4 linked regions of the Oryctolagus cuniculus genome follow. The protein of the gene in region 2 purifies or fractionates together with the protein of the main gene of each other region. This does not show direct contact. Links are inferred from orthologs where the notes say so. Each region holds a gene or a part of one and is shown on either strand. Other genes may lie near its edges.

Region 1 (7,308 bases), on a different chromosome or scaffold from region 2:
GGACTTTAAGTGTGTTCCATCAGGGAGACCCATGATTGTTTACACCATGGAGCAAGACTTCTATAGATTTGGTTTGATTGCTGCACCTGATAGGAGCCGCTGCTTGCACACAGCAGACAGCCTTGATGAGCAGCTGGTAAGCTTGGAGCACATATAAGACAATCAAAGGAAGTCTCCATATAAACTTCTCCATGCAAGGAAAGGTGGTTTTTCCATTTGCCTTTTTCTGAGCAGTTTAACTTCCTAATTACATGATCCAAATTGTTTCAGAGACTATGTAAACCATATGTTTGTTAGATGATGGAGACAAACGTGGGGAAGTCTGATTAATATCAGCTTCCCTAGGAAAGAGGTTGCTTTCCCAGCCAGGTTAGCGTGCCCTGTCCTTACTGGATGAGGGTGAGCGTGGAGGGGAGGGAAGTGGGCTGTAAATAGCTCATTAGGGCTATCTTCTCCCCACCGCTTCTCAAGCACACATTTTAACACAGTGTTGGGCTTCTGAGTCAGGATGAGAGAGATGGTTGAATGCTGGCCGGCATTAGAAGAATGAGTCTCATTCAGTTTTTAGCAGATTCATATGGGGAAACAGTCATGGTTATTTTGAACCTTCATGAGATAGTGTTTGAGAGTCTGTGTGGGAGAGAAAAGGCACAAGAGTTAGAGAGAGTGAGCTAATTTTCAGGTTTTGTTCCTTTGGGTTTGAATGGTAGCTTACAGGGATAAATAATCAATTTACCTCACTACTGTTAAATGGAATCAAGTTTTTTATATATATATATATATACACACATACAAATATATAACTATGTATAGTATATATATCTATATACACAAATATATAACTATATATATAACTATATATAATATGTGTGTATGTGTGTGTATATATATATATACACACACACACACACACATACATATATTCCGTAAAAGAGTAGGGAAGGGATTCTAAACAGCTACATGGTTCATTTCGTGGTGCAAAAGTGTGCTGGCCTAGATAAAATAATGATATCTTATGATAGAAAATAAATCACCTAAAAAACAAACAGGCCAATGTGTTCACTGCATCATATTTTAGTTGCAGACAGTGGGCACAGTTCCTTGATCAAATGACATGGCTCCACAGATGTGTGGGAATAGAAACCTGAGGGGAATGCACATGAGCACCGTGGCCACAGTTGATCATCGAAACTGGACTTGGGAGAGGACAGCAGCCACACACTGAGTCCGATGACTGCCCTAGCCCTTCATCAGTGGCATCGTAGTAATAAACTACTCCTTTGTCTTTGATTACCACAAAGGACAAAGATGCAAAACAAGGATGAAATATACTCCCTAGTGTTGTTTGTATTTAAGGAAACACAGGGGGAAATTGTGAACTCTGAAAATTAAGAGAGGCAAGAAAAAGACTTACCTAGTTTATCCATATTAGTTTATTAAAGTTTCCTGTGAACTCTTTCTCTTGAATTGAATTGGGAATGACTTCATAGGTAAAGCCACATTATGCTGAAGACTCTTAGGAACTGGAGTCATCTTGGATATGACTTTTCTTTTAAAGATTTATTTATTTTATTTGAAAGGCATAGTTACAGAGAAACAGGGAGAGACAGAGACTGAGAAAGACATCTTCCATATTCAGGTTCACTCCCCAGATGGCCCTATCACTCAGGCCTGGGCCAGGCCAAAGCCAGGAGCTTCATCCAGGTTTCCATATGGGTGGCAGGGGCCCGCAGACTTGGGCCAGCTTCTGCTGCTTTCTCAGGCCATCAGCAGGGAGCTGGAACGGAAGTGGAGCAGCTGCGCCCATGTATGGTGCTGGTACTACAGGCAGCAGCTTCACCCACTGAGCCACAGCGCCAGCCCCAGATGACTTTATAGCATATGCATTTCTTTGGAAATACCTATGGTACCTATGCAGTGTACCTAAACACCCATGTTCACAGTATTAGATTACTTAGATTTCTCAGTCTGCTGCAGAATTATAAGTAACAGCTATCCTTGACTAACAGGTCATCTCTTTTGACCTGTTAATTAAGAGTAATTAGGAGGTATAGAGAGGACCGTCACATGGAAGCCTGAATCTTCTTTTTCTCTTGTTCTTGTTATTGAGGTTATGCTTTTTATTTTATTTTCTTTTTACATTTTTATTGTTTGTTTTTATCCGGAGTCTTGGGCTGTTAGTTGAATTTCTGAGACATCTATTCAACCTTATCAACTTTTTTTTACTGTGCTAAAAATGACTTCTTTGTTTCTAGTAAACGTGGTCTCTTTAAAGCATAACCATTTTTGTTTATGAAGTGTATTATCCTGCTTCCTCTTTGTATAAACTCCATGTGCTCTTTGATAAGTCTCATTTTGGATATGAGAAGTAGTTTATATATCCTGGGTGTGGATGTGCTAGTCTGTGGACAGTTTCAGGAAAGGTTTGTAAATTATCTTGTCCTGTGAATTTTCAGGTAATACAGATTATTACCCTAGAAACAAGTGAAGGTGACTTTTTTGCTGTTAGCTGTGTTTGTTGTTTTGTGATGGTAGAATCTGTGAAAATAAATTTCAGAAAGGAGAATTACAAAAGAGTGACTGACAGGCAGATTTCCAGCCTGGAATAAAAGAAATAGCAGGAAATCTTGAACAAAGTAGCTGGTTCTGAAATCCTAGTTAGGTATGACTGGGCATAAGGATTTTTCTATCCCCTTAGCTCCCCTGAGCCCATACATTTGAATTTATTGTTAAATAAGTTAAGTAGTTATTTGATTCCTAGAATATGTTAGAATTTATTACATACCCAATCAATCTATTCAACAATTATTTATTAAGCTCTGCCATGTTTAGCTGCAAGGGTACAGACATGGAAAATAGAGGGATAGCTGTATCTAACCAGGTTTGGGATTTGCCAGTCAGGTATAGCCCAAAAGTTGAGCATGTATGCCAGGAGTGATTAGAGCTAAACACCAAGAAATCCAAGCTGGGCACTTTAGTGTGTGTGAAGCAGAGGACATGATTCATAAGGATAGAGGAAAAGGCAGGGTCAATGACTGCAGGAACTAGTAGGCTACATAATTGTTGGGGTTGGCATTTAGAGGACTTGGTTTGTAAAGTGGGATGCAGGTTAGGAAGACGTATGGTTGTCACTGGGATTAGAGAGAGTTCTAGCTGATGGCAGTGACAAGATGTAGAGGATGATCGTGAATGGGATTACTGATAGAGGGCAGAGAAAAAGATCATTAGAGACTGAGAAGCCAGGGTGATGGAAGGAGCTCCACATAGAAGGAAACAGTGTTGGGGGTTGGCATTGTGGCGTAGTGGGTAAAACCACTGCCTGCAGTGCCTGCATCCCATATGGGTGCCAGTTCTGATCCAGCTCCCTGCCAATGGCCTGGTAAAGCAATGGAAGATGGCCCAAGTGCTTGGGCCTCTACACTCACGTGGGAGACCCAAATGAAGCTTCTGGCTCCTGGCTTCAGCCTGGCCCATACGGTCATCAGGAAAGTGAACCAATGGATAGAAAGTCTCTCTCCCTCCTCCTCCTTCTCTCTCTCTCTCTCTCTCTCTCTCACTCTCACTCTCACTCTCACTCTGACTTTCAAATTAATTAAAAAAAAAAAAAAAAGAAAACTTGAAAACAAAAAACAAAAAACCCGAAACAGTGCTGGAGAGATGGTGAGCCAGCAGCTACACTCATGAAAGGATGAGGAGTGGTCCAGGGGCTCTGTGGATGATTGTGATTGTGAGACAGGCTTATGGCTTGAGAGTCAAAGATAGGTCTTTTGGGCATGAGGAAGTGATCACTGTCAAGAGGCCAGAATGAAAAGCAAGCAGGCAGAGAGCTGTTGCCCTCCAGGAAGAGCCAAGTTCCTGTTAGAAGGAATGTTATTGGATGGTGAGGTTAAAGGAGGGTTCAGCAAAGAGGCTGAGGATTTAGATGACGTTACTGGATTCTCTAAGGAAATGCATTGCTCGCGGACGCATTGGAAGAGGTCAGGAACCAGCTGAGGCCAGGTGAGACGTGTTCACCAAGCTATGGGGCTGAGGGTCCTGGGGCATGAAGGGTGCTGGGGGTCCTAGGATAAACAGGGAGAGAGAATATGATGGGATTAGTCCTGGAGGTTTCTGAAACAACTGCAGCTGTTGGGTGAGTGTGGGAGAGGAAAGGTTGGGCCTTCTTCCCTTTTATGCTTGGTCCTCTGGGGCAGAGAGTGAGGCCTTGATACCCAGGGCATTGGTGGGCCTGGAGCTTCCTCTTCATTCTCTGGGTGGAGAGGTGGAACCGGGGAGGTGTACACCTGCCTGTTCAAGCACTTCCAGGATGCATGCAAGTCTTACTTGTAACAGCAGTTCCAAAGTGATGCATCACGAACCAGAGAGGGTTTTGTATTTTTTAAAATATGCTTTCGTACCTGAGATGCAGTTCCCATATGTTAAAAACATAAACATAGTAATTAACTGGTTTAATTGGTATAGAATACATTAATTCCTAATCAGTAGATTCCAATTCATATTTTAAAGTCATTCTATCCTGCTCCTTTCCTTCCCCTTTCACCTTCTCCCTGAAAATTAGTTGAAACTGACAGTGTCACAGTCTTATGTGTAATTGACAAGTTCTTTTCCTTTTCTATTTCAGTGAAGAAAGTTACAACGTCAACGATTATTCCTTAAGAGATCAGCTGTTGGTGGAATCTTGTGACAATGAAGAGCTTAATTCTTCTCCAGGAAAGAACAGTTCCACAATGCTGTACTCAAGACAGAGCTCTGCCAGTCACCTCTTCACTCTCACTGTCCTTAGCAACCATGCCGGTGAGAAAGTGGAAATGCTGCTAGGGGCTGAGACACAGTAAGTATCTGCAGGAGAAAAAAGGTTTCAGAGTATCTGACGTCTGTCTCCTTCACCCAACTGCCTCTGGTGTAGATGCCCTAAGAACAGCAGCTACTGTTTATTGCTGTCCAGTAACATGCACGGTGTCTGGGTGCTTCAACCAAGTGTTGTTCATTTCACTGGGAGTTTCTCAGTACCACAAGAAATGGATGTTGTTATTTCTGTCCCTGTACACATTGTGTTTGGTGTGGTTTGTAGAGTGATTTAAATTTCTTTTTCTTATGATTAAAAAAAAATGAAATCCACCAGCCTTAAGGAATATGACTCAACTGGTAGTTTGACTCATCTGAAGTCATGTCTCAATCGCCTATTTTCAACCAGAAACAGAAAACCCAGTGATTTCTGCCATGAGAAATTCAGTTTGAGGAAACATACTCATAAATTCTCTTTCCAATCTTGACTTTTTACAGAGGCAAACCAGGCATCCTGTTTGTTCTGGTAGCTTCACCAGCAGTTACAGTACAGTCATTTCCCACACTGGGTGAGAGGAAGAGGGTTTAATTTTGAAGCCACTCTAGGAATTTGATCCATTGAGAGGTGATGGATTTACCTGTTTGAGAACTGACATTGTGGGGAGGTATTATGTTGAGCCAGAGGGTGGGGCAGTGGGTGGAAAGGAGAAGCTCCTAAATTTCTTGTCATCTCAGAGTTCCTCCATATATCTCTCTGCATGTCTGTGAGATGCCCGGCATGGCACACATCCAAGGCCAGGGCTGAGGGAAGGCGTGTCTTCAACTCAGAGTTGTTTAAACGCTTTGGCTAGTGAAGACAGACCTAAACCTCCTTTGTTTGGGAAAACCTCTCTTCAAAAATGGAATGTATGGGGCCAGCATTATGGTGCAGCAGGTTAGGCTGCTGCCTGTGATGCCAGCATCCTGTATCAGAGTGCTGGTTCAAGTCTTGGCTGCTCCACTTCTGATCCAACTTCCTGCTAATGTACCTGGGAAGGTAGTAGATGATGGCCTAAGAATGTGGGCCACTGCCATGCATGTGGGAGACCAGGATGGAGTTCCTGGCTTCTGGCTTTGGCCTGACCTACACCAGACTGTTGTGGCCATTTGGGGAGTGAAATAGCAGATGGAAGGTCTCAGTATCTGTCTTTCTCTGTGTCTCTTGTTTGCTCTTTTGCTCTACATTTCAAATAAATAAATCAACCTTTTAAAAATGGAATTTACTATGTCTGAGCTTTGGATGTTCTGTGAACTTAAGGAAGAGAAAATCTTAAATACTTTGGAGATCAGTCCTTGTCCAAATGCCCTAGAGAAGTCTCAGAAATGGTGGAAGTGTTGTTGGTTTTTGCCTCGTGTCTTCCTTTGCTCACTGTTTCCAAGAATTGTTTGTTTTTTATTCAGGCCTTGCCAACACATCAGCAGAGCTTTTCCTGACTGTCTCATTCATTACTGATGTGATCTTGACAATTTGTTTCTTAGGTTCTTCAAAGGAGTGAACTTCCATGTCCACTGCTTCCTATACCAAGGCTAGATTTCTTCTTAGGATGCTCTGTAGCCATCGTTCAACCCCCTTGCCTTTTGATCTTACTGTGGACTGAATGGGTGCTCATTTCCTCAATCAGACATGTTGTTAGATTATTCAGTTATGTCACCTGTAAAACCATAGTATGATTCATATTTGTAGGTCTCTAATAGCAAGAGAAATTCCAGAAGGGCCAGGGGAGCAGAGGTCTCTGTGGTACAAAAGGAGAGACTCTCATTGTCCTTGATCACCCATCCCTGCCTTCAGTTACAGTTGAGAAGTAAACAAATGGACATTGCTTATGCGACGTAAAGCAGTATTGATGTTGAAATAAAAAAAAAAATTCTCTTTAATAGCCTAGCAATTGGCTGTTTACTCTGTTTGGAAATATGCAGGTCAACTCTGGGCTACCTGGTATTGAGCATTCAGAGTTTTGGTCTGTGTACAGTATCTTCTACGTCTAAGATTTGTGAATGTTTAGATTAGTGTATGTGTTTTAAGTTCTCTTTTGCTTTATTTGGCTGATATAGTCCATCATCAGTCTGGTTGGGAAAACAAGATTTTCACTGCCACTGTGGACTGGAGAAAATGCAGAGCTTTAGACCAGCCATATGTAGCCTTTAGTCACTTTTTCCTTGACCTGAAAAAAATGGGGTTCACACCTATGCATTTACTTTCTTTCAAAAAAAGTGTTGCCAGCAGAGTATATTCCTGGGAATATTTGAAATATAAAATGAGTCATGGGAGGGGTGCAGCTGTTTGGCACAAGAACAATTCAACTTCCTAAGAGTGAAATTGTGGAAGAACAGATCAATGGCTTTGATTACATAAGGAATGCAGAAATGCTTGCCCAGAGGAAATGGGGCAGACACTTAGTGAGCATCTGGGATGTGCCAGGCCCTGAGCCAGCTGCAGAATGTCAAGAAGAGACCCAGGGTGTTTCTAGGGAAGGAGAATTTCGG
Region 2 (8,070 bases):
TACTACATACACCAAATGCATTGTCTGCCATGCCCAGCCTTTATTTCATTTCATTTTTTTTAAAAGATTAATTTGTTTATTTGAAAGAGTTACAGAGAGGGAGAGGCAGAGAGAGGTCTTCCAACTGCTGGTTCACTCCTGAAATGGCCACAACAGCTAGGGCTGAGCCAGGCTGAAGCCAAGAGCCAGGAGCTTTACCCAGGTCTCACATGTAGGTGCAGAGGCCCAAGGATCTGAGCTTTCTTTCACTGCTTCCCCAGGCACATTAGCAGGAAGCTGAATCAGAAGTGGAACAGCCTAGACTTAAACTGGCACCCATATGATATGCCAACCCACTATGCCACAGCACTAGTCCCAATGCTCAGCCCTTTCTAAAGGAAGATGTTCTGCCCACAGTCCTATCAGAGCCCTAGGTTAATCATTACCTCTATTCCATAACGCACAGTTGATGGAACCAGAGCTGAGTATTCAATCAAAGGTAGCAAACCCATGGAATGACTACAGTTCCTAGGATTCAAACATCTGATAATGCAAATTAATAAATCTAACAAATGAAAATTGTTTAATAACTAAAAATTACTTCAAACCTAGTAAGTCTGTGCTTTCAAACATTCACATAGTTTTTGCAGTCAAGATTTTTAATATCCTTTATGTCCAAATCCCGAAAGCAAACATTTCAAATTGAAAATACAAGGCTGTGGCTGATGTTGTGGCTCAGTGAGTTAAGCTACCACTTGAGAAATGGGCATCCCACATTGGAACACTGATTCAAGTCCTTGCTACTCCACTTCTAACCCAGTTCCCTATTGATGTGCTTGGGAAGAGAGTAAGTAGACCAAGTACTTGGGCCCCTGTCTCTCTTTTTTTTTTTTTTTTAAGATATTTTTATTTTTTATTTGACAGGCAGAGTTTACAGACAGTGAGAGAGAGAGACAGAGAGAGAAAGGTCTTCCCTCCGTTGGTTAACCCCCCAAAATGGCCGCCTACGGCCGGCGCTGCACCGATCCGAAGACAGGAGCCAGGTGCCTTCTCCTGGTCTCCCATGCAGGTGCAGGGGCCCCTGTCTCCTAAAGTGGGAAACCTGAATAAAGTTCCAGTCTCTTTGTGGCCATTTGGGCACTGAACCAGCAGATGGAAAAATCTCTTTTTTTTTTTTTTTTAAGATTTTATTTATTTATTTGAGAGATAGAGTTACAGTGAGAGGGAGACAGACAGAAAGGTCTTCCGTCCATTGGTTCACTCCTCAGGTGGCCACAATGGCCGGAGGTGTGCCAATCCGAAGCCAGGAGCCAGGAACTTCTTCCAGGTCTCCCATGTGGTGCAAGGGCCCAGGGACTTGGGCCATCTTCTACTGCTTTCCCAGGCCACAGCAGAGAGCTGAATCGGAAGAGGAGCAGCTGGGACTAGACCCAGCGCCCAGCGCCCATATGGGATGCCGGTGCCGCAGGCAGAGGATTAACCTACTGTGCCATGGAGCTGGCCCCATAAATAAATCTTAAATAAATACATACAAGGCTAATAAAAGTTGAAGATTTCAAAATATATTAAACACTATACAATATTCTGGTTATTAATTTTATCATTACGTTTCATTTTTATTAAAATTTATTCTTTTAAAACATCAAATAGCATTACAAGGTTTACAACTAAATAAAAATAAAGTGTTTTATCACCCTCTGTACTTTCCATCACTTTGTGGTATGCAGTTAATCTATTTTGTATTCTATATTTCCTTCCTCATCCAACATTTTAGATTTTTAGTATTAATAATTATTTCATTTACCCCCATTTGCTTAAGTTTCTATGTGCTTGTCACCAGTTCTTCCCTGAACTCTCCACTAAAACTGTTTGTGTGGTATCAATATGGTCACCCATGGAGCAAGCTGTTTGGGACACTGTACCCCATATTAGAGTGCCTGGGATCCAGTTTCCTCCTAATGCGCCTAGTAAGCAGTAGATGATCGCTCAATTACTTGGGTCCCTGCCACCCATGTGAGAGCCCTGGATTGAGTTCTGTCTCCAGGCTTTGGCCTGGCTCAGCCCTGGCAGTTGTGGGCATTTAAGGAGTAAACTAGAGGGCAAAAAAATCTTTTTGTCACTTAACTTTTCAAATAACTAAACAAACAAAACTTTAAAAATAATCATGGCCAAGGGACAGGCATTGGGGCACAGCTTGACACCTGTATCGGATCTATGAGCACTGGCTGAGGAGAGTCCTGGCTGCTCTACCTCCCATCTAGCTTCCTGCTAATACATCTGGGCAGTCAGAAGATGCTAGCATAAGAACTTGGATCCTTGTCACCCATATGAAGTTGTGGGAAACCCAGATGAAGTTCTGGCCTTCTTGGGATAGTGAACCAGCAGGAAGAAGAACTCTCTCTCTCCCTGTGTCGCTCTGTCTTCAAATAAAGAAAATAAAAATTTTTAAAAATGGTCATCCACATTGGTGAATTGCAAATTTCATTTTTTTTTTCTTGGTGACATCCCATTTAGTCTTCTGCCCTGCTCCAGTGTGACTGAGCCACCACTCTGCAAGCCATCTGCATGGGCTCCCCTGAAAAATGCTGATAATTAATTTGCTGTGTCATTTTGACTGTTACGGGATGCTCAGATGCTAGGTCAGTGAGGCTGTTTCTAAATGACATTAGCATTTGAATCAGTAAACTAAGATCACCCTCATTGATGTGGGTGGGCATCATCCAATCAGTCTTTCAGACAACTGAGATATCCATCTTTTCCGAATTCCTTGTCAGGACTGCACACTCGGACTAAGATTCACAACACTAGCTTCCCTGGGCTCAGGCCTTGGAGTCTGGATTGGAACTACATCCCCATCTTTCCTGGGTCTCCAGCTTTCGGACAACAAATCTGCACAATCACCCGAGCCACTCAATCCCTCAGGGTAAGTCTCTTTGTACGTAGCTATTTATAGTCTTTTGGTTCTGCTTCTCTGAAGCCGTTTCTCTATCCTAGGTGAAGCCAAGGGTTTCAAGTAAGAGGTATGAAACCTGTACCAAGGTGTTAGAGTTGGGAAAGGGGCTTTTCTTAATCTTAGTTGGTCGACACCAGAAGCTAAGGAGTGAAGCCTACCTTAAACTCCCACGCGCAAATACACCTACACTGGAAGCGCCGGGAAGCACCTCGCCACCCGCCTGCTCTCGCGATACCCGCTAGTCCTCGCCCTTCCGGCTCCGGTAGGCCCCGCCCCTGCCTCAGCGCCTCTGTCGTCATTTCCTGTGGGTCTGCAGGCTAAAAGAGAAGATGGCGGCGCTGGGGGAACCTGTACGGCTAGAAAGGGGTGAGTGCGGCCAGGGTCCGGACGGAGGTGGGTGGAGGGTATGTGAGAGTGCCGTGTCGCTGGAAGTGAGGAGGGAAGGTCTAGGTCCCGAGATCCAGAGCCAGGCCGTCCATGGTGTTGGCGCATGCAACCGTCTACGTCGCTGTGCGCGGCTCCCGGGAGTGAGCTTAAGGTCTTTTGATTGATATCCAGCCCCGCTCTGTTCAGCACGGACTGTCCGGGTGTTTAGCACTGTTAAACACAACCTTGCCCGCGTTCGCATACAGGCACGGCACATGGGCTCCATGGGTGGCCACAGCAGACGCGGCATTTGGAGACCTGTAAGCTCTAAAAGCAAACGTCACACGCTGTGTTCCGACCGACTACACTCGAACCCATGCACGCGCAAAACCCCGTGTCCCCGCCTTCACCCACATATCACACACTTAGCAGACACGGCACCTCCTCCAGTGCCCCGCTTAGTGCACAAACCGCATTGCTTTCACCCCAGCGTCACTTGTGTTTGGAAACTAGCTTTGCTTTTCCTTTCAGTAAAGGAGAGGATGCTTTAAGAACGATGCTACTGACTTGATCTTGGGAAGTTTATACAACTAGATGGAATAGTGAGTGACACTTGCAGGTGCCATGTTATGCTTTCTTTACAAACACTACAATTGCAAACTGTGGCAGGTTGATTGCTTCTTAGATTGTGAAGGAAAATAAAACCTGTTCCACTGAGTAATGTAGAGAGGAATCGGCCTGTGAAAATACCCGACTCTGCCCCTACCAGCTTCCTGATACAGATTTCCAATATTCCACTCCTGCATCCTCCTCAAATCGTTTTTTTCAAGCAGATTTTAAACACAACAGCATTAGAATCCTTGAAAATAATCAAGAAGTACAAGGTAAGTATTTTGAATACTGTTGGGAAACAAAGCATAGAGTGGAAATTGAAATTATTTTGCACATTGTCACATTTGGTCAAATTTGCAGTTATAGTTATTAATATCCTCTAACAACAATATACATTTTTAGAATTATTGTACTTCTGTCATATCATCCCACAAACAAATGTGTACTTTCAATTGTAAATTTACTCCTTATGGTGTTCACCATTTGGAAGCCTCTTTGTATATGAGATTGTTACTGTTCAGCCCACCAGGCTGTTAATTAAAGCAGCACTCTATGACAGGGGCGTAGCTAGACCTAAGACTGTACATCTTCCTTGCGAATGCAATGGCATTGTGCTTTGTAGATAGAAACAAATCTGTTTGGTGTTAACAGGAGGAGGTATTTTTCTATGAAAGGTGTTTGTAGGATTCTAAGTTAGCATATTTTTGTATTTTTAAGTACAGTGCAAAATGTGTGACAGAAATTAGAAAATACATAGAGCCTCTAGCTCATGTGGAAAGAAATGTGATATTCATTTTGAATTTATAGTTGTTAAACACTTTTGAACTTTTCTATAGAACTAAGGGCCAGAAGGTTTTCAGGGGCAGTAAATCTTCATACTCTAAAGGCAAACTTATTTTTTTAATTTAAAATTAGTACCAAATCTGGTGTACTGTTTGGAAAATATTGTTTTTAAATGAGATTTTAAAAATTGATTCCACAGTAAATAGAATTTTTTAAATGTATTTATTTATTGGAGAGGCAGAGTTAGAGAGAGAGAGGAGGGGGGAAAGGTCTTCCATCCATTGGTTCACTTCCCTAATGGCCACAACAGCTGGAGCTGCGCTGATCGGAAGCCAGGAGCCAGGAGCTTCCTCTGGGCCTCCCATGTGGGTGCAGGGGCCCAAAGACTTGGGCCATCTTCTACTGCTTTCCCAGGCCATAGCAGAGAGCTGGATCAGAAGTGGAGCAGCCGGGACTAGAACTGGTGCCCCTATATGGGATGCCAGCACTGCAGGTGGTGGCTTTACCCGCTACGCTATAGCACTGGCCCCAATAGAACTGTTAATATCATTTTTTTTTAATTTTCATTAATCATATTTAGAAATAGAATTAAATTTTTGTGTATTTTGAAATGTAGAACTCCATTTCTGGAATTAGTGATGATTTTGTGTTTTGTTTTCCAAGTTTCTATAGTTCTACAATAGAATTCTCAGCACTATAGTAGAAATAAGTTAGTAGTGGTTCCATTTATCAAGATGAAGTCAGATTTCATCAACTTGTATGTAGAATTTTATCAGAGTCTACTAACAAACGCTTGCAATAATCTTATAAAATTAATGCCTGTGATCAAGATCCCAAGAGCCCTCTAAATCATCAAAACGTGATTCACTAGAAAACGAATTTGAGTACTTATCAGATACATTGTAGATTTAGTAAAGGGTGTTCTACTTTCTTAAATTTTTTTGTTAATTTAAAATTTTTACATGGCTCATGTGTTATAACTTTGCAAATAATTGGTGAACCAACTATCTCCATTATTAGCCTTTCTGGTGGTAGGAAATCATTGCATTTGATAAACATCAGTGTAAGATTTTATTATCTGAAATTGAAAAACCACGTTCCTTCTTTACTACATGTATTCATAATTTTCCAGCTGCAAATACAAAGAAGGCAATATTCTATGAAGAGGACTCTTCAGTCCTTAGGTATAACATGAAATTAGGAACTTCTTCCATTTCAGTCAGGACACAGGAAAGGAATAATAGCCAATACTCTGGTCCACTGGGGTACAAAAGCAGTTCAGAAAAAAAAGTCAGAATAGAGGTAGTTATAGTATTGGAACATGAGTCTGACTCTGAAACTTCTGAATTCGTAAGCATGTATCCTCACACTTCCCAATGAGAACTGACCGGCATGCTTAATGCATTTGCATAAATGTATTCAGCCTCTTAGTGTTGTGAGTAATTGGTGCCCATATAATTACATTTATGCATGCTAGGCCCTTTTTCATGTTGTTGTTTGTTTCAGTCATCAAGTAACTCTTAGGAAAATACAGTTGTCTCCATCTTACAGTACAAAAGAAACTGAGACACTGAGACATTAAGTGGCTTGCCCAGTTATATACAGATAGTGTTGAGGTGAAATTGGCAGTCATAGAGTTTTTATTTTTCTATTTTGTAAGCATGTATTTGATTGAACTTACCTGAATTAATACATTGATCCTAAGTTGAAAGCAGAGCAGTTAATTTTGTTTGTACTGTTTTAATCGGCTCCCTACCATTAACTACACCTGTTAATGAATATTTTGCATCTACATATGTGTCATGTTTTCAGTCAGGAATTGAATAGTGATTTCACCAGCACAAGGAAAATTATCCTGTTCAATGCTTTGGATGCTAATAATTTTTATTGACTAAATCATTCCTGGTAATGTGAGTACTGCCAGCTGTTCTGAAGCAGGACAGGCTCTATCACATTTGAGCCCCAGTCCTTTCTGGTGATATTCAGTTTTTTATTTTCAATTTGCCTATCTCAAAAGATTCCATTTCCTGGATTTTCTACCTTTTGCAACATGTATTTTTTCCTAATGTACTCTAAAATGTGGCATTCTCAGATTTTGCATTCCCACCTGCCATGTACGTACTTAGCCACACAAATCCTCCCCATATATGTGCATATGCACACTTTCCCCCTCTGTCTTCTATATATTTCTTGTTAGTCCTTGAGAAATGAATACTGTTCCACTGTCACATAGGCATATAGAGCATATAGAGAATCCTTGGAGAAAATTATCTATCAGTTTTTTTTTTTTTTTTTTAACTTTAGATATTTGTAGAGCAATTGAATTGTTGGAAAAACTGCAGAGAAGTGGGGAGGTACCACCGCAGAAACTCCAGGCTTTACAAAGAGTCCTTCAAAGTGAGTTCTGCAATGCCGTGAGAGAGGTAAGTAAATGTGATTCACATTTACTAAAATTTTGAACTGATTAGCCTCTGGAATTGGGGTGCAGAATATCCTTTTTTTTTTTTTCTTTTTTAAGTTTTTTGTTTGTTTGTTTGAAAGAATGACAGATGAAGAAAGAGAAATAGATCTTCCATCCACTGGTTCACTTCCCAAATGGCCACAATGGCCGGGGCTGGGCCAGGCAAAAAGCCAGGAGCCAGGAACTCCTTCCAAGTCTCCCACAGAGGGGCAGGAACCCAAGTACTTGGGCCATCTTCTGCTTTCCCAGGTGCATTAGCAGAGAGCTGGATCAAAAGCAGTGCAGTTGGATGGATGCTCTGAAGTCAGCATTGCAAGTGGTGGCTTAACCTGCTGTGTCACAATGCTGGCCCTGATTTCAGAATTTTCTTAATAAACTTTAAAAATAGAGTGGTGGTATTAGAAGAGAGATTAAGATGCTACTTGGGATGCTCACATCCCATGGTGTAGTACCTGGGTTTTAGTCCCAGCTCCACTTCTGGTTCTAGCTTCCTGCTAGTGTACTCCTTGGGAGGCAACAGATGATAGCTTGAATTCTTGTGTTCCTACTATCCACATAGAAGACCTGGATGGAATTCCTGTCTCTTACCCTTCTCCTGGCCCATCCTTGGCTGTTGGGGCACTGGAGGAGTTAACCAGTAATGGAATATCTGTCTCCATCTCCCTCCTGCCCCCTACCCCCATTTATCTCTTTCTCTCTCTCTGTCTCTGTCTTTCAAATAAGTAAATAACTTTTATAAGAAATACTAGAACTTGTCCCTCTCAATTTTGGAATTTCGAATCAGATATTTTACAGCACATTAATTGACTACAGAAAGAACCCAAACATAGTATAATCTGAGGTTTAAAATCAAATATGATAACCTTTGGTTTTACAGGTATATGAACATGTCTATGAGACTGTTGACATCAGTAGC
Region 3 (7,308 bases), on a different chromosome or scaffold from region 2:
TTATTATTGCATTTATATACAGTGTACAGAATGGGAAATAGACCTAAAATAGATGTGGTCACTCACAGCTGGGGCTTGGGAGAAGAGAGTGACTGCTAGTTAAGCTTCTTTTGGGTGTGGGAAATAGGGAATGGGTAAGGCAAATGTTCTAAAATTGATTGCAGTGTCAGTCACACCACTCAGTGACAATACTAAACACTGCTGAATTATATACCTTAAATGGATACATTGTATGGATATGGATAAGTTAAACATAGCTCAATAATGCTATTAAACAAAAAATCCCAGCAGATTTTTCTGTAATTTAAAACTTGATATGGAAATTAGAAGTTTTAACCATAAAACTTTAGAAAAAGAAAGGAGATGGCTTTTGTCTTTTTCTATTTAACCCTCCTCATTTTTTAATTTGCAGTTGCCATAGTTTCTGAAGATAAACACTTATTTTAATCTTTCTTTTTAAATATAGGCATTGGTGGTTATATATTTTCCTCTAAGCAAAAGCAGTTCTCTAATTACATACACCTCAGAAGCTTTTTTTTTTTTTTTTAATTTTATTTATTTATTTGAGAGTTAGAGTTACAGACAGTGAGAGGGAGAGACAGAGAGAGACGTCTTCCATCCATTGGTTCATTCCCCAAATGGCTACAACGGCCAGAGCTACGCCAGTCCAAGGCCAGGAGCCAAGTGCCTCTGCCTGGTCTCCCACACAGGTGCAGGGGCCCAAGGACTCAGGCCATCTGCTGCTGCTTTCCCGGGCCATAGCAGAGAGCTGGATTGGAAGAGCAGTAGCCGGGACTACAACCGGTGCCCATATGGGATTCCGGCGCTGCAGGCGGAGGATTAACCTACTGCACCACATCGCTGGCCCCTCAGTAGCTTTTAAATAATATTTTTATTATCATTTTGTTAGAAATATTTTCTAATTTCCCTTTTCATTTTCTTCTTTAGCCCAGGAGTTATTTAAAAGTATGTTATTTCCATTTTCTGCTTAGCCACACTTCCACCTGTTTGGGGACTTAAAAATTTAACACCTTAATGATTTATAGTTCCATTGTGATCAGATTATAGACCCTCTGAGTTTTGGCTTCATCAGTGTTGCATGTACACCTATAAAAAACATGTATTCTGTATTAGGTAGAGGATTGGTGTATCAAATTCTTTTTATTTCACTTTTTTTTATCTCCTTTATTTCTCATGTGTTTTATTACTCACATGATTGAAATGTTGAATGAAAACAAATCTTCCATTTTAATTATGGAATTGTGTTAAGAAAGTAGTGTAATTGGATGAAAAAGTGTAACTACTCATTCAGTTACCTAATTGTGCACTGAATCTATTCAGCTGGTGCAGAATCTTGAGAGTGGTTAATTGAACAGCATAAATTGATGGTCAATTTTGGCTGTTATTTTTGGTTGTTTTTTATTACAAAATATTTTGAACTAACACATTTTACTTCATCTTAGTCTTAGATTGTAATTTGGAAGAGAAATTCAGACAAAGTACTAAATAAATTGTGATTATTTTAGCATAAGATGAAGTAATGCCTTGAATTTGATTAACACTAGGTGGAGTGGGGCTTAGCATTTACATTTCAACTCTAGGACCACAAATTTTCTATCCTGTGGAGTCTTATAATGTTCTTTCAATAATATTGAGCTTTGAGTACACATAAATTTTAGCTAAAATGTCAGTGTGTTCAGTTACAATGGTGAAGTAGAGCCCCTGCTAAGGAACAAAGGATTCTGTGTTCCATATTCAGATGCGCAACATTCCAGAATGAAAATTAGAGAGCCATGTGAGAAACTGCCTCAGGACAAGCCAGAGTTGTCTGATCTTTTCATACTGTCAGAGGAGTTCTGTTGAATGAATCAAATTGTTTTGTCCTGTGGATTCAGTACAGTATATGGCTTACACCTGAGACATTTGGTCTTTTTTTTTTTTTTCCCCCCAAAGATTGATTGATTTGAAAGGCAGAGGTAGAGAGAGGGCTTCCAATCTGCTGGTTCACTCCCCAAATGGCCACAATGGCCAGAACTGGGCCAGTCTGAAGCCAGGAGCCAGGAGCATCTTCGGGTCCCCCACGCAAGTGCAGGGGCCTAAGAATTTGGGCCATTCTCTGCTGCCTTCCTAGGCCATAGCAGAGAGCTGGATTGGAAGTGGAGCAGTAGGGTCTCAAACTGGCGCCCATATAGGATGCTGGCACTGCAGGTGGCGGCTTTACCCACTATGCCACAGCACCAGCCCCAGACATTTGGCCTTGAAGTTAATTAGTTATCTTCCTTGACAGGTGATTTGGGGGCTGTTTCACTTTCTTGAGTAACACCTATGCCTCAAAATCAGAGGAATTTAGTTAAGTTTTGCCTACAGCCTTGCCACCTGGTTGGCTCTGTGAACTAGCCCTTCCCTTTACTCTGTATTTTAAATAGAGTACTCTGTTCTGCATAGTTTCCTAAATTGGTAGGTGGTTTTTTTTTTTTTTTTTTTTTTTTTTTTTTTTTTTTTTTTTTTTTTTTGCCTTTTAACAACTTCATTTGTGTTTTGAAACACAGCAGCGAGTGTTTTCCCCAAAAGTATATATTAGTTTGTTAAATTTTGGGCTAACCAGCCATGTTTTCATAGAAAAGAATACCCATTCTTTAATCCTTTTCTTTTCCCATGGTGTTTTCTCTACCTAACTCTGCCAGATAAAAAGAGCAGGGGTCTTTACAAGATCCAAGAGTAGATGATGTTTTGGGTCCTTGCTCCAAGCAGAAGGTCCATTCCAGGTTACAAAAGATGTTACTTTGGGGAAGAAATTATTATTCCCTAAAATGTTTGAAAACAAGTTTGTAGGGAATTCACAGTAACAGTCTGCATTCTGTGATGTAAGTCAGCCTTTGTTCTTTGGCTCTGACTCATCCTATATTTTGGTAAAGAGAAGAGTCACCTCACAGATTTTATTCTCTTCTTTGCAGCCTGAGGAGTTGAGAGAAATCATTGAGAAGACTAGAGAGATGGAGCAGAACAATGGCCACTACTTTGACACAGCAATTGTGAATTCAGATCTTGATAAAGCCTATCAGGAATTGCTTAGGTTAATTAACAAACTGGACACTGAACCTCAGTGGGTGCCATCCACTTGGCTGAGGTGAAGAAACATCCGTTCGGCAGCATAATTGGATTGGATCTGTCAAGCTGTCAACAGGAAGATATCCTGATACTTCAGCAAGATTGAAGATAAGGTGGAAGGCAGCAGTGTAAGCTGTAGACCTGGTTTTCATCCTTACATCCCTTAAACTAGTGAGGAGAAAGTTCCCTTAGGCAACTGTGTGCACAGCTTTCTTCATTCTCTGCAAATGGCTTTTTAAAGGTTCTTGCCTCACTTTGGGATTCTAAATGGAAGCTTTCAACACAGCAGTTCCATTTTACCCTCTTAAAACCTTTTGTTTTCACCTAAATCTTTTCTGCTTGGCTATATTTCTATAAAAAAAACTTGTATGTATGTACACAATAGTCCATGTCTCATGTACTTATAAATATTGATGTCATTTAACACTTAAATGACTTCATGGGAATATTTTGAAGGGACTGTGCTTTTCTGCATTGGGCAAAAACAGTATTGGCTTAGGAGACTGGTTTAGTGAAAAGAACTTTCCTGAAAAAGAAAAGAAAAAACAAAACGGTGGCACTCTGGTTTGGAGCTACTTTGTTTAGGCTTGAATTTATTTGTATTGTCTTTTTCCTCTAACAAAAAAAAAAAAAAAAAAAAAAAAGAAGCATTCTGTTAGAAGCACCAGCTTTTTAACCCAAGCTTAGTGGCTCAGACTGCACCCCCAGCAGGCTGTAATCCAGTTAAAGGCTTACAGATTATGCTGATCTTTTATAATTTGATTTTTCTTAAATTATTACAATGATTTGATAGCCTCACTTCCTTTCTTTGATCTGCATAGTACAATAGACTATTAGATTTTTATGAATGGCATTAATATAAAACTGTGTTGACTCAAAGTTTCTTCCTCATGATGCAAATAGTTTTTTATATACATGGGAGGACATAACACATTTGACCATTTTTGCATTTTTATACATGAGCACCATAAAAGTCTATGGCTATGCTATGTATGTAGGTAATAAACTGGAATTATGTTGATGAATATAGCTGCTGTACTGTATACTAATTTTAACAGATCGATAAATGGTCATTGATAACACTTGTTCAGCATTGGAATAAAATTTTATATACATATATATCTTAGGGAAATACTATGACAATTGACTTTGAGATCAGAAGGAAAGGAAGACCTGAAAGTCACTTGAACATTTTAGGAAAATAACATTGTGAGGGGGTGGAGGGCATTTCTTAAGCACATAGAAATGAGTTTTTATCCCAATAAGGTGTGCCTGTGATGACAAGAATGGAACAGCTTGCTAAATCATAAAAGCAATGTTTAAGCTAATGGGATTTTTGTACTGTCTGTGTAGTTATAGCTCAACATTTATTACTGGCATGGAAAGTTGTAATCTTTTCAGGCCTTTAAGGATAGTGTGTGTGACAAACCTCAAATGTGAATGTCTTGATTTTATTTTTATGATGACTTTAGCTACAGCATTTCCTGCTCCCAAGCTAAACACTGGAATATACTGACTTATCACTTAATTTAACATAAGTAGTTGTTTGTTTTTAATGAGTATTTTGTTTCAGTGTGATGTATATATTTCATTTTTTTTCTCTTCCATATAATTTTATTTGAACAAATGTAAACAGTTATATGTTGCCTTTTTTGTTCACATTTGCGTAACTTAAGTTGGCTAGAGAGTGTGTCTTATTTGGAAATATTTCAAGATAATGTTCCTTAGGAAGAAAGTATCCTGGGGTTGAGGGAAGGAATATCATATATATGGTCTCTTCAAATCTGAAACACTCCAACTTAGGTCAGGAAAATACAGTGGTCACACCAGTGATTGGCTTTGAAAACCAAGGCATATACTTAGCACTTAATCGTCTCAGTTTTCCAGCTTACATTCTCTAGGAGTGATAGGTAGTCTGGCCAGCAGAATTGTCTGATCTGCCTTGAGTGTAACTGATAGGTGTTTTCAGCAGTCCTGGTAGAGTGAGGTTTCAGGCAGTCAGTGAGCGGCTGTTGTGCCCCAGCAGACAGAGGGGCTTTACTAGGGCCAAGTGCTATCAAGACTCAGACACACGGCTTTAATAAGCAGATTTTATACCAAGGTCCCTGCCATGCTATGCTTTTGGGAAGTACAAGGTAACATATTTTCAGGGTCATTAAAGTAATTCTCTCCTTCCATTGCATAGAAGAAATGTCTGTGTCTCAAACTTTTTCTAAGTGATATGGATATGCTGATATTCAACACAACCCCTAAACAAAGTGAAAACCATTGTTGCTGCCTTCCTCAAAAAAATGAGGATAAAAGCACCTTGTTGTGTACCTAGTTGTAGAGCAGCTCTGGCCAGTTCCATTTCCTGTCCCTCTATGGTCTTGATTGGAGAGCCCTGTGCAAGGGGGAATCTTAACCACTGACAGAAATGATACTAATAGCTAAGAAATATACTTGGAAAATCCAAATAAGGAAATAGCTTCATTTCCAAATTTTCGTTAAGTCAGAACAAATGGAAGGAGAATAATATTTAAACTAATCCAGATTTGCTTTCTATGAAAATCTAATGTCTGGATTGTTCCCCTTTTTTCATGTTCTAAGGAATAAGTAGTGATAAGGAATGATTTGAATGTAATTTTGCGAATGTGTGTGGAAATATAAACCAGGGATTTAGCCTTAATAAAGGTGACCTTTCTGGCATCTGTTGTTAATCTGCCTTCCAACTTCTTGCCCTGCATCTGCACTCTTGTTATTTCGAGATGTCATACTACATGCTGTATTGTACAAATAAAAGGAAAAATATATTGCAAATTTTAAAGCCACCGAGTTCGTTCTCTAGCTGTTTATGTCCTCTCCCACTCAAGGTTTCTACACAAGTGAAGACACCCTCCTCTTCAGATTTTGGCCAGAAGCAAGACCATCAGATGCTCTGAGGTGGGAGAGTAGGGGGGTATTTAATTTGTTCTTTATGTGGGGCATGCCCCCTCTTGGCACAGACTTAAATAGTTACTGTTTCTCTCTTGGTTTTTTTTTTAAGATTTAATTATTTATGTGAGTGGCAGAATTAGAGTTAGATATAGTGGATGTCTTCCATCGACTGGTACACTCCCCAAACAGTAGCACTGAAGCCAGGAACTTCATCTGGGTCTCCCATGTGGATGCAAGGCCTCAGTGCTTGGGCCATCTTTCGCAGCTTTCCCAGGCACATTAGCAAGGAGCTTGATCGGAAGTGAAGCAGCTGGGACTTGAACCAGGGCTCATATGGGATGCTGGCATTGCAGGCAGTGGCTTAACCCGCTGTACCACAACACTGGCCCCACAGTTTTGTTTGTTTGTTTGTTTGTTTTATTTTAAGATTTATTTTATTTATTTGAAAGAGTTACAGAGAGAGGTAGAGACAGAAAGAGAGGTCCTCCATCTGCTGGTTTACTCCCCAGGTGGCCACACAGCTGGAGCCACGCCAATCTGAAGCCAGGAGCCAGGAGCCTACTCTGGGCCTCCCACGTGGGTGCAGGGGCCCAAGGACTTGGGCCATCTTCTGTTGCTTTCCCAGGCCACAGCAGAGAGCTGGATTGGAAGTGGAGCAGCCGGGACTAGAACCAGCGCCCAAATGGGATGCCAGCGCTTCAGGCCAGGGCATTAACCCACTGTGCCACCGCACTGGCCCCTCTAATAAAGTTTTAACAATTAAAAAAACGAGGGCCAGCAAGGTGGCACTTTGTGTAACTCAAATAAATCTTAAAAAAAAAAAAAAAAAAAAAAAAAAAAAACTTTATTAGAGATGGACAGCTTAAGGCTATGAAGCCGAAAGGTTTTTGTGGGAGGAAGAATGTAATACGTGGACAGATTTTACCTCAAAAGCAGCCAGGGACTTGAGAACACTGAGGATAGCATGATAGTTGTTGAAAATATACAACTTCAGCATATTACATGCCTCTATTCATATCCCTTTTTCCTACACTACCACTCTGAGGACACAAATCATACTCAGACATACCTTCTTCACCCCAGTCCAGCTTTCTATTCCCGTTCCTGATCTGGTCCCTCCCCTTGGGATCAGATTACTTCGACTTCACACAGCAAATTACCTGTCTGGTGTTTGCTCTTGATTTCATTTTAACAAATGCTAAACTGGGGCTGGTGCTGTGGCGTGGTGCATTAAAGCCCTGGCCTGAAGCACCGGCATCCCATGTGGGCTCCGGTTGTAGTCCC
Region 4 (7,852 bases), on a different chromosome or scaffold from region 2:
AAGGTGTTGTGTTACGGCAGCCGGAACACAATAAGACAGTGTTGCTTCTGAGAGTAAGTCATGAAAGACATGGTGGCTTCTGCCTTGCCCTCTCGGATCACTGCTCAGGGGGAAGCTCACCACGATGGCTTTATAGAAAGGTTTTGTGTTAAGAAACAGGCCTCCTTCCCGCCATCACCATCGACTTACTAGTCCGGAGTGAGCCATGTTGATGGAGCCTCGACCAGCCCCAGTGAAGCCTTCAGATGACTGATAGCTTCCTTGGTAGACATCTTGGCCTCATAAGACTCTGAGCCAGAACTGCCCATTTAAGCTGCCCCTGAGTTCCTGACCCATAGAAATGTGAGATGATGTTTATCACTGTTGGAGTCCTTACACTACTAATTTTTTTTAAAGATGTATTTATTTATTTATTTGAGAGGTAGAGTTACAGACAGAGGGAGAGACAGAAAGGTCTTCCATCTGCTGGTTCATTCCCCCAAATGGCTGCAAAGGCTGGAGCTGGGCTGATCTGAAGCCAGAAGTGAGGAGCTCCTTCTGGGTCTCCCACGCGGGTACAGGGGACCCAAGCACCAGGACCATCTTCTTGCTTTCCCAGGCCATAGCAGAGAGATGGGTCGGAAGTAGAGCAGCTGGGACTTGAAGTGGCTCCCATATGGGATGCTGGCATTGCAGGCTGGGGCTTTAACCTGTCGTGCCATGGCACTGGCCCTCATTATAGGATCTTTTTGTTTATTTATTTATTTTAAAAGTTTTATTTATTTATTTGAAAGGCAGAGTTACAGAGAGGCAGAGGCAGAGAGAGAGTCTTCTATCCGCTGGTCCACTCCCCAGATGGCTGCAATGGCCAGAGCTGTGCCGATCTGAAGCCAGGAGCCAGGAGCTTCTTCTGGGTCTCCCATACGGGCGCAGAGGCCCAAGCACGTGAGCCATCTTCTCCTCACCCAGGCCATAGCAGAGAGCTGGATCAGAGGTGGAGCAGCTGGGAGTTGAACTGGTGCCCATATGGGATGCCGGCACTGCAGATTTTAGCTTTATCCACTATGCCACAGTGCCGGCCCCATGCTAAGTTTTAAGCTACTCAACTTTGGGGAATCTGTTCTGTGGCAACCAATAACTCAGACAGATAGAAAGGAGAGTAAAGAGTAATGATGCTTCCCACGTGGCCAGAACCTTTCCTGGCCCTAAGTTCGGGCTAGTGTGAGGTCCAGTCCTGCTTTTGGGCACTCCTGACAACTGAACAGGGTAGTCACAGTAGATGACTTGATAAATAACATGCCCTATTTTTCTCCTCATCCTCACACAATTTGTTTTTGACCCCTTTTCTGGCTTCTGGGAAAGTTGTACTGGCTTTTGTTTATCAGCCATGAGATTGTGGATCCTTGAGAACAGATCCTGTGTCTCATTTCTTTCTCTCCCCATTGCCTAGCAAGCGCACACGTGAGAGTATTTTGAAAGATTTGTGAAGAGAGAGCATTTGGTGTAGTGGTTAAGACCCACTTGGAACAGCCCCATCCCATATCAGAGTGCATGGGTTCAAGTCTTGGCTCTGCTCCTGACTCCAGCGTCCTGCTAATGCACACCCGGGTGGGCAGCAGGTGATGGTTCATGTATTTGAGTCCCTGACAACCACATGGGAGACTTAGATTGAGTTCACTGCTCCCTGCTTCAGCCTGGCTTAACCCCAGCTGGTGTTGGCATTTGGGGAGTGAACCAGCAGATGAGAGATCTCTCTCTACTCCTCCCTACCTCTCGTCTTTTAAACAAATAAAATAAATAAAAATTAGTTTTTAAGAAAATCAGAAGATTTGTGAAAAACAGAAGTAAAAGATAAGCTTATTTGGCGTAAACAATTTTGAAATCCATGCAAACAAGGGTCTTCAAAAAGTTCATGGCAAATGGGTATTATGAAAATGTGCAAGTATCATTTTTGGCATTACAATGTTTTAATTCTATTTTCCATTAATATTTTGGAAGCACCTTTATATGTGAATCATGAGTAGTATCAAGGGTTACAGCAAACTTTCCTTCCTCTTCTCTCATATTTCAACACGACGCTGTCAAGTTCTCCAAAAGCCTGGTGGAAAGAGCCCTGGCCTGCAGAGGGAAGCCCCGAGTTGTTGGTCTGCTCTGTCACCGAAGAGCCTGCGTGTCCTCGGGCAACTTGCTTCCCCTTTGTGGAGCTCAGTCTCTTCATCAAGACCGAGAGAGTGGGTCTGGATGATCTCTAGTGTGTTCGGCGTCTCCCCAGTTAGGATTCCAAGGTGCATCAGAAAGTGAAACCCAGGGGTCAGCAGCGCGGAGCCGCAGCTGCGGTTACGGTACGAGGCTCCCGGGACTCCCCGTTATTAGCCAATGGCCACAGTGTGAGGGGAAGGCAGTCGGGTTCACCGGGAAGAGTGTTCCGGTCAAAGGACAGAAATCTCCCGGTTTCCAGCTCTGTCACTAACTCTGGTCAAGTTTTCCTTCGGGACCTCAGCGCAGGGAGGTCCCGCTTCCCCAGAAGAAGCGGAAGACCTGGCAGTGACCTGGGGAGCGCTCAGTACCTCCCCTTCTGCCGCCCGCAGGGCTCCAGCGGGCCGGCGGTTCCGCTCCGAGGTGCGCGAGAAAGTTGAAGGGCGCCGGGCCGGCGGAGGTGAGGTCTTAAAGGGGCCTCCAGAGCCTGAGCCACGCCTGAGGTGCTGGCTGGGCGGGGACGGCAGGCTTGGGGGGATGAATGCAGGAATGAGCCAGTGAACGAGGAACCTTCTCTCGTCACCCTTCAGTGCGCTCAGACTTGGGACCCAGACCTCAACTTAAATATCCTCTATTGAAAGCCTCAAACTCGTGCCACATTTCCCGGTCTCCCTACTGCGCATGCCCTTCTTTAATGAAAAAGTCTCAAACCTTTAAAGTGGGGCGCATAATAACTTCTAGACAATCAGTAGGACGGGGAAGGTGGCCTGGAGAGGGCACCCCCGCCCCTCCCCACCCCTCCTTTCTCCTCTCCCAAGCGCCGGCTACCCCGCCCCCTAACGTGGGTGGCGCCGTGGGCTCCTCCCCGAGTGGGGTTTGCGCAGTTGAGGAGGCACCCCGGCGGCGCCAGGCGCCCTGTCCGGTCGTGGAGTTGGGTGGAGCACGTGTTTGGTCAGGTTAAGGGGTGTTTCGGCATGTGCGTTTGGGACCCAGTGTAGATGGGGTCGCGTCCGTCTTCAGAGACCCCGAGCCTTTCCAGTCCCGCACGCTGCACCTCCAGAACCGCGGGGCACACGGTGGGGTGCAGCGAGGTAAAGGGGCAACCCCGGACCACCTGTAGAGTCCGTGTGTCAACTCCTTTGTCCTCCGAGCCTCTTGGGCGGCCGCCCCTTTAAGCGAGGAGGTTCACTCGGGATGCTCCCCGGGCCCCCCTTCGCGTTCCCCAGCCTCCTCCCGGTCCTCCTCCCCTTCTCAACCCTAAGGTAGCAGTGCTGAGAGCCCGGGGCTGGGCGCGAGCCGCCTCCTCACTTCCCATTGGCTGCGAGCGCCGGGAAAGCGGTCACGTGGCAGCGCGGCAGTCCAGCTCCGAGGCCGCCATCTTGGCGGAAAGTTTGGGGGGAGAGCGACCGGGGGCGCGGAAGGAGGCGAGGTTCCGGGGGTGGGGCGGCCAGCAAGCGAGAGGGCGAGCGGGTTAGCTGGCCGCGGCGTGTGAGGAGGCGGCGGCTGCGGCGGCCGAGGAGGAGGACGAGGCAGCGGGGGTGCGGCCGCCGAGGGGAGCTCCTCCCCCGTCCCCTCACCCCCTCAGCTCAGCTCCTCGAGCCCCGGGCGGGGCGGGGGTACGTGGAGCCGGGCTGGGCGGGGGAGCTGCTGCGACTCGGCCCGGAGCGCACCCCAGCTCCGAGTGCACGCCGCTCGCGGGAACTTTGTGGCAGCGCCGCAGGTGTGGGGGCCCGCGGAGGTGTGCATGTGGGGCGCGAGGGCGTCGCGGAGAGCGGCCGCTGCCCTGTCCGGACCCCGCCGGAGTAGCCCGGAGGAAACAAGCAAGGAGAAAGGCAAGCGAGAGGAGGGGGCTCGGGCAGGGCTGGGTCCCTTTTCCGAGCGCTCGGTGCCGCTGGCGCCCTAGGGGCCCAGGGTCGGAGCGCCCCTATACCCACCGCCCCCGGGGGCAGGTGGGGAGGCGGCCCCTCGGCCTGGCAGGTAGTGTGCTCTGTAAGGTGGGGGGAAGCTTTTGTAGAGAACTGGGAAGCCGACTTGATTGTCTGGTCTTCATTGGCGGGGGGATCCACCCCGAGGAGAACGCTTTCTACCTGGGCTGACACTGCTGGGTTTTGAGGCTGTTCCTTTCACTTGGGAAAACTTTGGAAGGGGGGCTTTGGATAATAGGGCTTTTTTTTTTTTTTCGGTTGGAGATTTAACGAGGAAATGCTAGTTTCTGCTCGATTCTATTTTTCAGTTTTGTTTTGTTTCCTCTCTTTCCGTTCTGTGTTTGCAAAGGTGTGTGCGGGCTTCCTGATTCTGGAGAAAAATGCCGGTCCGGAAGCAAGGTGAGGATTTATTTCAGAACACTCTTGTGGATGTCAGTTTTGTGATTGCTGTGTTGAAAATCTTTGTGTAACTTTGACGAGACACTGTGGAGCTAGTGTCATTGCTTGGGGAATCTAAGCCTCACATCATTTCAAAGATTGACACCTGTTCAACTCTTCTTCCTCTAGTAAATTCCAGAGGCAGTTAGTCCCGCCCCCCCCCCCGCCCCTTTAAAAAAAGCTCTGAATTGGTTTTCAGTATTTCACTTTATCACTCTTAGTAAACACTATTGGGTGAGCAGCTGTGGGATGCTAAGAGTAGTATTTTGAAACGCTTAAAATTTGAAGTATAATGACAACTTGTAGATAATCTGCTTTTGCTTATCAGGTAATCTGAAACGGTGCTGCTAATACTTGCATCAGACACTCTCACTGTGACAGACTAACAGTACATATCTGTTATACACTGCTTCCTTCCTTCCTTTTGCTACTGGGATGCATGTTCCAACAGTTTTCTGATCATTTTGGAGAACAGGTGTACATGAGCATTTTGCCGTTGATTGACCTAGAGAAATTGCAGAACTGCTCAGATGCCTTGCGGAATCATGTGCACTAGCATGCAAAGTTTGTAAATATGTATACACTTTTAATCAGTCTCTTCTTTTCTCAGATACCCAGAGAGCCTTGCACCTTTTGGAAGAATATCGTTTGAAACTAAGCCAAACTGAAGACAGACATCTCAGAAGTTCCATAGAACGGGTTATTAACATATTTCAGAGCAACCTCTTTCAGGCTTTAATAGGTAGGAATTAAAACTTTATTTGTGACCGTATGTGTCAGCTGGTTATGCTCCTCTGAGTTCAATTATTTAAACTTAAGAGAATGATATGTACTTGATTTTCTATGTGGCAGTTTGAACATCTTCATGGTTGATGATGCTTATCATGGTTAGGCTAGTATCCTTTCTAGAATTATCTAATAACCAAAAATAATCCACTTTAAGTAGAATTATTTCAGTCATTTTGAGAACAGTGTTTCATATTCTTGCATTAGCTAAAAGATGGAGAAGTTGCAGAAAGTTTCAGGACTCAGAAAGCAGCGACGGAATCATTAGCAGCTTATTTTCTGTATTTGATTTGTATTTCTCTGGCATCCTTAGGAATATTTGGGTGTTTCTGCTATGTTCAAGAATATTCTCTTAATATAGGACTCTGTGTAAGCTTGGCATTTATGGAGCCAGAAATTTAGATCTGAAAAATGATCTCAGAGATGATCTTTTTTTTTAATAACTATTTTGCAGACAAGAACATTGAAACAGAATTTTATTCATACTAAAGATTGAGGTGGTGTATTGTTTTAAAGGAGACTGGATAAATAGTCAAGGCCCCAAATTCAGTTCTTGACACTACCATTAATTGAATGATATTACACATGTTTTTTAACCTTTTCTAGAACTGTAGAATGTGAGTGGTGAAATATAACAGTGGGTTTTAAGTCTTTTTTTGTTAGGTAACTAGATCCTTTTTAAAAACAGAATTGTGTGTTTTGTATACACTCCCTGTTACATAAAATGTAGTGATAGATAAAGTGGCTGGGATATCTCTAAAAGTTTGCAAACCACTAAACTAGAAAATTTGTACCAGGGGCCAGCGCCGTGGCTCACTTGGTTAATCCTCCGCTTGCGGCACCGGCATCCCATATGGGTGCCAGGTTCTAGTCCCAGTTGCTCCTCTTCCAGTCCAGCTCTCTGCTGTGGCCCGGGAGGGCAGTGGAGAATGGCCCAAGTGCTTGGGCCCTGCACCCGCATGGGAGACTGGGAGGAAGTACCTGGCTCTTGGCTTTGGATCGGCGCAGCGCCAGTGTGGCAGCCATTTGGAGAGGGAACCAATGGAAGGAAGACCTTTGTCTCTGTCTCTCTCTCTCACTGTCTATAACTCTACCTGTCAAATAAAAAAAAGGAAAGAAAATTTGTGCCTTTCAGTTCTAAGAATAAAATTTTAATTTTGAAAAAAAAAAAAGATTTATTTATTTATTTGAAAGGTGGAGTTAGAGAGGCAGGGACAGAGAAGTCTTCCGTCCACTGGTTCACTCCAAATGGCTACAGCAGCCAGGGGTGGGCCAGACTGAAGGCAGGAGCTTCATCCTGGTCTCCCACGAGGGTGCAAGGACCCAAGGATTTGGGCCATCTTCTGATGTGTTCCCAAGCACATTAGAAGAGAGCTGGATTGGAAGTGGTGCAGGTGGGACTGGAACTGGTGCCCATATGGGATATTGGTGCTGTGGGTGGTGGCTTAGCCCTCTATGCTACAGTGCCAGCGTCTTAAAAATTTATCTTTTTAATTAGTCATTGACTATATAACATTTTAAAATACAGAGACATAGACTTCATGGTGTTAGAAATATTTCCTCAGTAACTTCCAAGCAGATATGGTCTTATGTTTTTCTATTGATTTGAGGACTACCTTCATTTCGGTGTTTCCTGATAACTTATTGATGAATTGATGTTTCTGGTTTATTTTAGAATTTTTTTTGAATTTTTAAATAATTTATTTACTTGAAAATCAGAGTTACACAGAGAAGGAGAGGCAGAGAGAGAGAGAGAGAGAGAGGTCTTCCATCTGCTGGTTCACTCCCCAGATGGCTGCATCGGCCGGAGCTTCGCTGATCTGAAGCCAGGAGCCAGAGACTTTTTCCCAGTCTCCCATGCAAGTGCAGGGGCCCAAGCACCTGGGCTGTCTTCTACTACTTTCCCAGGCCACAGCAGAGAGCTGGATTGGAAGTGGAGCAGCCGGGACTTGAACCAGCATCCATATGGCATGCCGGCCCTGCAGGCGGCAGCCTTACCTGCTGCGCCACAGTGCTGGCCCCTAGAATTATTTCTTACGAAGACTACTTGATACAGCTACTTGGTACACCTGAACAGTTTTAGAAATTTAACATTCTCAAAGACTTTCAAAAACATATATAAGAATAGAGAGCACAGTGTAGTGAACTACCACATATATGTCACCCATCTCAAAACTTACCAATATTTTTCCATTTGTGTTTATATTGATAGACTTTTTTACATTTAAATTTTTAAAATAATCTTTGTCTTTTGAAATTTTTTTTGTGTTTTATTTATTTAAAAGGCAGAGAGACAGATCTCCCATTTGCTGGTACATTTCCTAAATCGATAAGCCAGGAGCTCAATCCAGGTCTCCCATGAGAGTGGCACAGGCAATGGCTTAGGTACTATCTGCCCCACCCACCTAGGTTGCTCATTAGCAGGAAGCTGGAACTAGGAGCAGAGCTGGGACTGGTACCTAGGAACTCTGATAAGGGATGCGGACCTTCCAGTGGTATCTGAAGCATTATGCCAGACATCTGCCTCT

The links.
Region 1: the proteins of LIN7C (region 2) and ARHGEF26 purify together in Homo sapiens (affinity purification with mass spectrometry; 3 studies listed by BioGRID and IntAct, counting the BioPlex papers as one, with this or other methods). This does not show direct contact. The link is inferred for Oryctolagus cuniculus from reciprocal best matches to the Homo sapiens genes LIN7C and ARHGEF26.
Region 3: the proteins of LIN7C (region 2) and PALS1 purify together in Homo sapiens (affinity purification with mass spectrometry; 3 studies listed by BioGRID and IntAct, counting the BioPlex papers as one, with this or other methods). This does not show direct contact. The link is inferred for Oryctolagus cuniculus from reciprocal best matches to the Homo sapiens genes LIN7C and PALS1.
Region 4: the proteins of LIN7C (region 2) and DLG1 purify together in Homo sapiens (affinity purification with mass spectrometry; 4 studies listed by BioGRID and IntAct, counting the BioPlex papers as one, with this or other methods). This does not show direct contact. The link is inferred for Oryctolagus cuniculus from reciprocal best matches to the Homo sapiens genes LIN7C and DLG1.

Annotation. Positions count from the first base shown.
Region 1 is NC_091435.1:126,757,426-126,764,733, reverse strand, and holds part of ARHGEF26 (rho guanine nucleotide exchange factor 26), read left to right. Parts: intron 1-4,621; coding exon 4,622-4,831; intron 4,832-7,308. UniProt on the Homo sapiens protein: Activates RhoG GTPase by promoting the exchange of GDP by GTP. Required for the formation of membrane ruffles during macropinocytosis. Required for the formation of cup-like structures during trans-endothelial migration of leukocytes.
Region 2 is NC_091432.1:38,877,335-38,885,404, forward strand, and holds the start of LIN7C (protein lin-7 homolog C), read left to right. Parts: upstream 1-3,196; 5' UTR 3,197-3,261; coding exon 3,262-3,298; exon of another isoform or gene 3,299-6,997; coding exon 6,998-7,116; exon of another isoform or gene 7,117-8,031; coding exon 8,032-8,070. UniProt on the Homo sapiens protein: Plays a role in establishing and maintaining the asymmetric distribution of channels and receptors at the plasma membrane of polarized cells.
Region 3 is NC_091451.1:13,182,964-13,190,271, forward strand, and holds the end of PALS1 (protein PALS1), read left to right. Parts: intron 1-2,954; coding exon 2,955-3,131; 3' UTR 3,132-5,914; downstream 5,915-7,308. UniProt on the Homo sapiens protein: Plays a role in tight junction biogenesis and in the establishment of cell polarity in epithelial cells.
Region 4 is NC_091435.1:83,756,594-83,764,445, reverse strand, and holds the start of DLG1 (disks large homolog 1), read left to right. Parts: upstream 1-3,551; 5' UTR 3,552-3,919; coding exon 3,920-4,007; intron 4,008-4,449; exon of another isoform or gene 4,450-4,480; coding exon of another isoform or gene 4,481-4,499; intron 4,500-5,148; coding exon 5,149-5,280; intron 5,281-7,852. UniProt on the Homo sapiens protein: Essential multidomain scaffolding protein required for normal development. Recruits channels, receptors and signaling molecules to discrete plasma membrane domains in polarized cells.